2 linked regions of the Ovis aries genome follow. The protein of the gene in region 2 purifies or fractionates together with the protein of the main gene of each other region. This does not show direct contact. Links are inferred from orthologs where the notes say so. Each region holds a gene or a part of one and is shown on either strand. Other genes may lie near its edges.

Region 1 (4,430 bases), on a different chromosome or scaffold from region 2:
GCTGGGACACTGCTGTGATGCAGCTTTGCTCCTTCTGCGCTGCCTGTTGGGAAGCTCAGAGCTGTAGTGGGCTCCCAGGATTGGCCAGCCCTCAGTCCCCTCTTGACCATCTCCCGTTTTGAGAAGGATATAAGATGGAAGAACAAGCTCCAATGTGTGGAGCTCCAGTAACTGATTACTTAATTTTTCTGAATTTCCTCATCTGAAGAGAGAAATAATAATTCTTGCCTTTTCTACTTGAAGGGGTTGATGTGAGGGTCAAAAAAAAAAAAAGAATGAATGAGAAAGGATATTACCTGGACATTGTTAGCCACTGTTTCTGACTGCTCAGACTTATCTTAACTGACCTGTGCACACATGGGCAGATTTTATCATTGGCTACCTTACATTTTCACCAAATGGTCAAGAGATATGAAGGAAAAACAAATAGATACTCAGCTCCTCTTTTTCCCTCTCTGGTAGTCACCCTTTATTCCAGAGCCCAAGTTGCACTTACCGCTTCTTGATTTCATCCAGAGCCAAGTGGTCAACACCCACAGACATTGTGCTAATGACTTTGAGATTAGCTCCTATTGGGCAGAAAAAGCATTATTTGTATCTTTCCTCAAGGGATTCAAGGCCTTCCCACATATATAGATGGGTCTGGAAAAGGGAGGGCCCTGCTAAAGGTCATAAACCAAGCCTGAACAGAGCTGGAAAAGGGCCCAGGGCCCTGGCTCTCCTCCACACCATGGTCTTTGCCCTCTTAAGGTCTCCCTCCGGGGACTCACAGCCAGCAAAGAGGGGCACAGTGTGTGCCACATGGAGCTGTGGCCTAGGACCACAGTGAATGCCCTCAGAGCTCGCTGAAGTCACTAAAGACCTGCTTGGAAAGCAGCAGCAGCAGGCCAAGACACCCCGGGAGCCCTCCCCAGGCCTGCACAGCACACACACCTGCAGCGTCCAAGAGCTTCTTGTCTATGCGGTCCGAGAGGAGGCAGAGCAGGCCATGGGCCCCAGCCATTCTCTGTTCCAGGTCCTCTCTGGGAATGGGCTCATCAGAATCCCACTGCTCCACCTCACAGCTGAAGACAAAGGGAAGACCACTCAGAAGTGGGCAAGCCCCTCAGGTGCCCACAGGCCCCCAAAGCTCTCCGGCCACATCCACCGACCCTGTCAGAGTGGAAAACATTGTTTTCTGCTTGCTCTGGCCTCAAGCTGCCTGGGGCTGGCTGAGGGGAGTCAAGATTAGGTGGGGGCAGCCTCAGAATTGTTCTGAGGGTGGCTGAAGGGTGAAGGCTGTCACAGAGCAGAGCTCTCCAGTAAGGACTGAAAAGGGCCTAAGCTGAAAGGAGAAAGTCACGGGGACCATTCTCAGCTCAACACAAGAAGAGATTTCTTTACCCCCACAGGAGGCCTCACAGGCTGCGAGCTCCCGGGCCAGGCTGCCTATTGAGAAGGCCAGGAGGGGGCTCCTGGCAGCAGCCGGGCTTGGACCCCTTGTCTGGTTGTGCATCTTCTCCTGTGAGTCCGTGAAACGAGTAACCCTTGTTCTTGACTTTGTACATGTGCTGTGCTCTGCTTAGTCGCTCAATCGTGTCTGACTCTTTGCGACCCCAGGGACTGTAGCCCACCAGGCTCTTCTGTCCATGGGGATTCTCCACACAAGAATACTGGAGTGGGTTGCCATGCCCTCCTCCACGGGATCTTCCCAACCCAGAGATCGAACCCAGGTCTCGCGCATCGCAGGTGGATTGTTTACCATCTGAGCCATGGACAAGACCAAAGCAGTTCAACAGGGAGGAGTTTCAAGGGGCGCTTCCAGAGTGGCTGGTGGGCCCCAGGCATGTTTCCCAGCAGTGCTGCCCAACCTCTGGCCCATGACATTTAATTCAATGCAGCCAAAACGCACGGAAAATCTACATGTGCAAGACACAGAGCTGCTGGCACTTTCCAACACCCCCGGCCCAGGCGCCGGCCTCCTCGCACGCAGCCTCCTTTCCTGAACAGTGGCCCAGCGCTGCAGCAGTGTGAGCGCCGCTACTAGTGTTCTTGTTGTCTTTGCCTTCCCCTCTCCCCCTCAATGCCTAGCACACAGCAAGTCTTCAGCAAAAGTTTGATTGCAGGCAACAAAAGAAACAAATTTCATTTTCCCCTAGCACTTGTTTCTAAGGCTGGGTCCACCTTCTCCTCGCCTGACATGGGAAGTGAAAATCTGCATACCGCAGTGCTCAGACTGCCACAGAGCAGATTTCTAATCCCAGCTGTGCCACCTATAGAGCTTGGTGAAGGTACCTGACCTCTCCCAGTTTCTCTGTAAAGTGGGAATCACAGCACTGATTTCACAGCGTTGAAGAATTAAGAGTTTACTTATAAGAAGCACCTGGTAAGGTGCAGAGTTCAGTTTAAGAAGTGCTACCAGAGGCCCCCTGCTAACCGACGAAGGGACCAGGCCAGTGACTGCCAAGGCCCCTGACCCGTCCAAGAGACCTCAGAGGTCGCTCAGACCTTGTGACATGAGTAGTCTCCCCTCTCCCCACGCCCACGACTGGGGAAGGCTCCAGCCTTCACCCCACCCTCGCTGCAAGTGCCACGGGAACTGCGGTTCCCAGGGGCACAGCAATGGGCCTGGAGAAAGCTTGGCCCCTGAGGACTTTCTCTAAGGTTCCCCAAACTCCAAGACCGTTCCAGCCAGGCACGGGTTCGAAAGTTAGGCGAAGGCCCAAGCGCAGGATCGCAGTTCTCCCTGGCCCCACGGACCGCCGTGTCCGCCCCACCAAAAAGAAGTGGGTGGCGGGAGGCCGCCCCCCGGCCCGCCCGGAGACGCTGAGTCACCCCACGTACAGGCTGCCCGAGGTCTAGGAGCGGTGCCCCCGGCTCCGCAACCCCTTCCCGCGACGCCACCCGCAGAACGCGCGCCCGGAGGGAGGGGACTCGGCGCGCGGAGAGGTCCGGGGGCGCCGGGCTCTTACTCTGCGGCCCGGGCGAGCGCGGCGCTGCCCTCGGGGGGAATCCTGCGTGTGATGAACACCTTCATGAGTCTCACTGGCCTCATTGACCCCGCAGCCGCCGGATATTGGGCCCAGAGCGGGCGGGCCGGGAAGGGGGCGGGGCCTCTGGAGGGGCGGGGCCGGAGCAGGCGGGGCGAGGGTGTGGATTGGCTCCGGAGCGGGGGGAGTGTGCGCCTTGTGCACTTCTGCGTTTGTGTGATCAAGCCTTAAGGAAACAGACTGGCCCTGGAGCTGGTGGCAGGCTCGTGCCCTTGACCACCAGGGCCTACCTCTGAGTACTCACTGCCTCAGAGCCTCCGGTCGGTCTTAGGGGTTGGGATAGGTGAAGAGGCAGCCACGGGAGGTCCTGTGTGAACGTGCAGGGGTGCCTGTGAAGGTGCCTACAGCTGTGAGTACGCTGCCTGTGCTGGGGGAGAAGGGTGTGGTCAAGGGTCATCCCCATTCCCAGGGTCTGCTGTGCCGGCCATCTTCTCTAGGTCTGTTCCATCATGGTCGCAATGATCCAGGCAGTGGTCTTTAGCCACACAGACTGGACTCTGAGCCTGGCCTATCGTGCAGACACAGGAGCCTGGACCAGGGCAGCCTGAATCCCAGAATGACCTCCTTAATGCTTGGTGCAATTTCCCACAGGAAGCCCACAGTTGAAAGCCACCCAGTTTGCTGGACACCTGCTGACTGGCCGAAAGCAGGTCAGGCATGGGGTCAGGGCCAAGATGCTGGAGCCATGCGGGACCGTGGGGTCATGGGCAGAGACTGGGATTGCAGTCAGGTGGACAGGGTCTGACTCCCAGCTCTGTCACTTACCAGCAATGTCGTCTTGGTCGGTTCACATCCTCTTCCTAAGGCTGTTTCTTCAGCTTCAAGATGGGGTGATGAGCACTTCCCTTTGAGGGCTATTGTGATTATTAATTAAGCAGGCAACACTTGCATGGGCCCTGGGCCATGTTTGATAGTCACCAAGCACCGAGGCCATGAGAGAGGTGAGTTCGGGCTCTGGAGCCAGATTGCCTGGGTTTAAATCGCAGCTCTGTGACCCACTAAGGACAAGTCCTAACCTTCTACATGCCTCAGTTTCCTCATCTGTAAAATAGGTGTAATAGTACTTACCTGCCTCATGGCTTGTTGAGAGGATACCTATGTACAGTACTTACAAACAGCAGGTATATTGGGCTGCACACCTCAGGCCTACAAGCCTTGTAGTTGTCTAGCTTCGAAACTGAAGAAAGAGCCTGGAGACAGAGACATCAGTGGTTTATTTGACAGGGATCATATACAAAGGGTCCTGGAGCCACACCTTGCCAAACAGACGCTGGCAGGACATTGCAGCAGTCTTTCCTACCTGAGGGAGAAGGCGACCATTTGCAGGAGGGAATTGGCATCAGGTGGGCCCATCAGTCACCAGGGACTAATTAAGCCCTCTAATTATAAGAGGATTGGATA
Region 2 (3,808 bases):
CCCAGAAAACTACTGCACTGCACATCCCAGTGTTTGGGAGCAAAGGTTCCGGGTTCAAATCCTGCTACCTCATTCACTGGGTGACTTTGGGCAAATTAGTTAACTTCTTTTTCCTTTTGTTTTCCCATCTGTAAAGAGGAATTAAACACAGCATTTACTTCATGGGGCCAGTCTGAGAATTAAAGGATTTAAAATACATGCTTAGTGTCTAGCATAAGGTAATGTTTAATGAGTAATAGTTATGATTATAAGAACCAAGTATATACATTCCCCCTAGCCTCAGCCTTTCATTCATTCACTTGTTCTTTTCCCATTCATCCAGGAACTATTTATTGGACACCTAACATGATGTAGTCAATATCTCTGGTTTGTGCTCATTTATGACTTCCATTCATCAGATGTTTTAAACGTGATCTCATAAGCTAACCTAAAGCCTTTTCAAATGAGATGATATACAATAATAAACAAGCAAGTCAGAGATACCAACTGTTTACTGTCACTGGGTCCCTTGTTTCTCCGAAACTGAATGTATTTTTAAAACTATTTTAGCTTTCTGTTTATTCAGATTTTGAATAAGTGGCCATTTACTATGCTTGCGTGTATGGGCATCTGATGGGCGCTGGATGGGGAACATTTCTTTGAAAGTTCTGTTGAAACACTGATCTTACGTCAGTCTTTCACCCCAACTCTGTGCACACCGCCCAAAGTGAGTCTCTAGAACGATGTCTTGACTACAGCAGAACTGCCATCCATTCATTTATCCATTAACATTCAATCACTCATTTTTTTAAAATGAGGCGTGTGTGTGTGTGTGTGTGTACCAGGCACGCCATGATCAGTCAGAGTTTAGCACAGTGACAAAGACATTCTTTTCTCTGTATTAGTTTCCAGTTCAACAGGGCAGATAGTCAAGTAAACAGACTCTCAGCACACAGTGTGAGGAGAGCCAGGATGGGAGAAATGCAGAGTGCTAAAGCAGCACACTGGGCATATCCAATCCAGAAAAAATGACTCCTTTCCTTCAAGAAAACCCCTAGATCACACACTACGTATGTATCAGATGTCTGAGCTGAAAGGGGAGGAAGGGTGCTCCCAGCACTATGAGGGCCTGCTTGGGAATCAAGGGAGTGGAGAGACCTACCGGTCCAGGGCACCACTGGTGGGCATGCTGCGTGCGAAGCCACGGACCCCAGTTTGCTGGAAGTATGGAATGCTGAAGATGTTGGCAGCAATGACAGCCACAGAGTCTGAAGGGTTCACGAAGAACCCGTGCTTGCCCAGAATCATGTTCCGATCCTTTGGGAGAAGGGGAATTCAAAGGGAGATCTTTTAATCAAAGTGCTGAAGAAACCGAACGATCTTACATGGAGGTTTTGTAAAATTTAAAGCTGATACATTTATTCATACCGGGTTCTACACACTGGACTTTATTCCTAATTGATCTGTACAGCACCACTAGGCCAATGGCACCTCCGTGCCAAAGAGCTAAAACTGTTTTGAGTTAAAGTGCAAACTCCTTCCAGGCTGAATTCTCTGTTCTCCCTCCAGAGGCCAGCTGAATGTAACCTCCCTGACCTTCTCCAAACTCTGGAACCAATCACCTCTCTTCTCTCCCAGAAGACAGCAGAGATCACAGAGAGAGGAAATGTGGGCTGTTTAAAGCTTGCTAGGTCTACCAGGCATTCTCCAAGGAAAAAGCAGATTTCCTCAAGGAAAGGCTCCTAAATCTTGGCACCTCCATTTGGTGCAGGACCCAACAAAATATGCTGTCACCTCACTGTTCTCCTGGTGCCTGATATACAGGAAGCGCTCAAGTAACTGAGAGTAAAGAGGAAACCCAGGATGCACTGCAACAGAAAGACACACTGAAAATAATGTCTGCTTGTGCATTTGTTTAGTGACTAAGTCGTGTCTGACTCTTTTGAGACACCATGGACTGTAGCCCACCAGGCTCCTCTGTCCATGGGATGTTCCAGGCAAGAATACTAGAGAGGGTTGCCATTCCCTTCTCCAGGGGATCTTCCCTACTCAGGGATTGAACCTGCATCTCCTACACTGGCAGGTGGATTCTTTACCAACTGAGCCACCAGGGAATGTCCCAATCTCTGCTATTTAATTTCTCAAAATATTAACATTGAAAAAGCTATTTTATAGGAAACAATGAATTCCAGCTGATGTTAAAGAACAATAGCAACCACCAAAATATATTTTTAACCAAGTAAATATGTGTAATGTTTACTATCTCTAAGACACTGTCCCTCCTTGTCTGTTACATACTCACCAATGCAAATAAAAGAGCATGTTTATTTCAAATATTAACTGTAGCTAAAGAATAAACTGTTAATTCTCTCATTATAGTTTCATCTTTCAGCTAATGTGAATGAACAGATGGGTATATCATAAGACCAAAACCCTTTCCAGAGATTGAACAAGGATCCAGCTGCTGGCTAAGAGCAAAAATCTACCTAAGGATGGAGATCGAGAACCCAGTCAGCTCATGGAGCACCAGTCAAGACATGATAACCAGGCCCCAATCACCCTGCCCTTCTCAGCAAACACTAGACACATGGTTCTACTTCAAGTCATCCTGTCAAGAGGGTCTTCTAATAATTGAGCCCCGACTCCAGGTGCAATGAGGGAGCTTGACTGCACTCCAGGCTGCAGGGCCTGCTTTCCCCCACTGAGCACATTAGGCCTGGCCTGCATCAGAGTCCACGTAAATGCACTTGCACCCACCCCATCTCCATCAAAGGCAGCCCCAAAATCATGCTCCCCTGTCTTCATAGTCTCCACCAGGTCAGCTGCGTAGGTGAGGTTGGGGTCAGGGTGGTGGCCTCCGAAGTCCTCCAGGGGAACGCAGTTCACTGCCGAGTTCGCAGGGGCGCCGAGTTCTTCACAGAGGATTTTTTTCACATATGGTCCCACGACTATGCAGAACATGAAATGAAGAACCAGAAATGAAACTGATCACAGAAGGTGAGGACTGGGGACTAGGTAGAGGCGATCTAGGGAGAATGGCACAAACGGCAGAGAGTGTGCAAACTGTATTCAAGGGCTTGTGGGCAGATGAGTCTGGAGTAGAAAGTTCTACAAGCAGGAATAATGAGGGATTAGGAAAGAGTGGGGGAAGGGAAGGAAGCGAACCTTATGAAGATCCTGCTACACAGGTGCTTCTTAAACATTTTCTCAGTCCTTCAAAATGGCCCATGAGGTGCTACAACTTAGCGCTTTAAGAACCTGGACTCTGGAATCAGAGTGTCTGGGTTCAGATCTCAGCTGTCAATTATTGGCTGTACCATTTTGAGGAAAGTTATTTAAGCTATTTCATCTCTCTGCTGTGCTTCCATCTATGCCAAATGCAAAATGAGGATAATAATAGTAGTTACCTTTACAGGGTAGACGTGAGAATTAAATGAATTAATAGATATGAGGCACTGATAACAAGCAACAGCCCATATTTTATAAAAGCTTGTGTACTATGATTACCACCTCCAATTTAGGGGAAGAAAACGGAGGTTCTGAGAGGAGGCTATTTGCCCAAACTTACACAGATAGATAGCAGGAGTGAGAGCTAGGATTCAGAGTCCTAATCTTTCTCGTCTATCATGCTTTCCAACAAACTGATTAAAAGAATACAGACAAACAAAAACACAGTAACAACATACAACAGGGAAAACCCGTCACATACTTTACAGTGATACATAGTGTTATGATCAAGAACGTTCGTCTCTAAATGCTTTCAACCAAGGAAGGTTCAACACCAATATATGCGACAGAGGTCAGGACAGTATAGAATTCGTGTCTCCCA

The links.
Region 1: the proteins of PGM1 (region 2) and GRHPR fractionate together in Homo sapiens (co-fractionation; 3 studies listed by BioGRID). This does not show direct contact. The link is inferred for Ovis aries from reciprocal best matches to the Homo sapiens genes PGM1 and GRHPR.

What each region holds. Positions count from the first base shown.
Region 1 is NC_056055.1:51,318,240-51,322,669, forward strand, and holds the start of GRHPR (glyoxylate reductase/hydroxypyruvate reductase), read right to left. Parts: upstream 3,058-4,430; 5' UTR 3,035-3,057; coding exon 2,952-3,034; exon of another isoform or gene 2,824-2,951; intron 1,153-2,823; exon of another isoform or gene 1,065-1,152; coding exon 934-1,064; intron 570-933; coding exon 497-569; intron 1-496. UniProt on the Homo sapiens protein: Enzyme with hydroxy-pyruvate reductase, glyoxylate reductase and D-glycerate dehydrogenase enzymatic activities. Reduces hydroxypyruvate to D-glycerate, glyoxylate to glycolate, oxidizes D-glycerate to hydroxypyruvate.
Region 2 is NC_056054.1:39,042,747-39,046,554, reverse strand, and holds part of PGM1 (phosphoglucomutase-1), read right to left. Parts: intron 2,928-3,808; coding exon 2,737-2,927; intron 1,297-2,736; coding exon 1,142-1,296; intron 1-1,141. UniProt on the Homo sapiens protein: Catalyzes the reversible isomerization of alpha-D-glucose 1-phosphate to alpha-D-glucose 6-phosphate. The mechanism proceeds via the intermediate compound alpha-D-glucose 1,6-bisphosphate.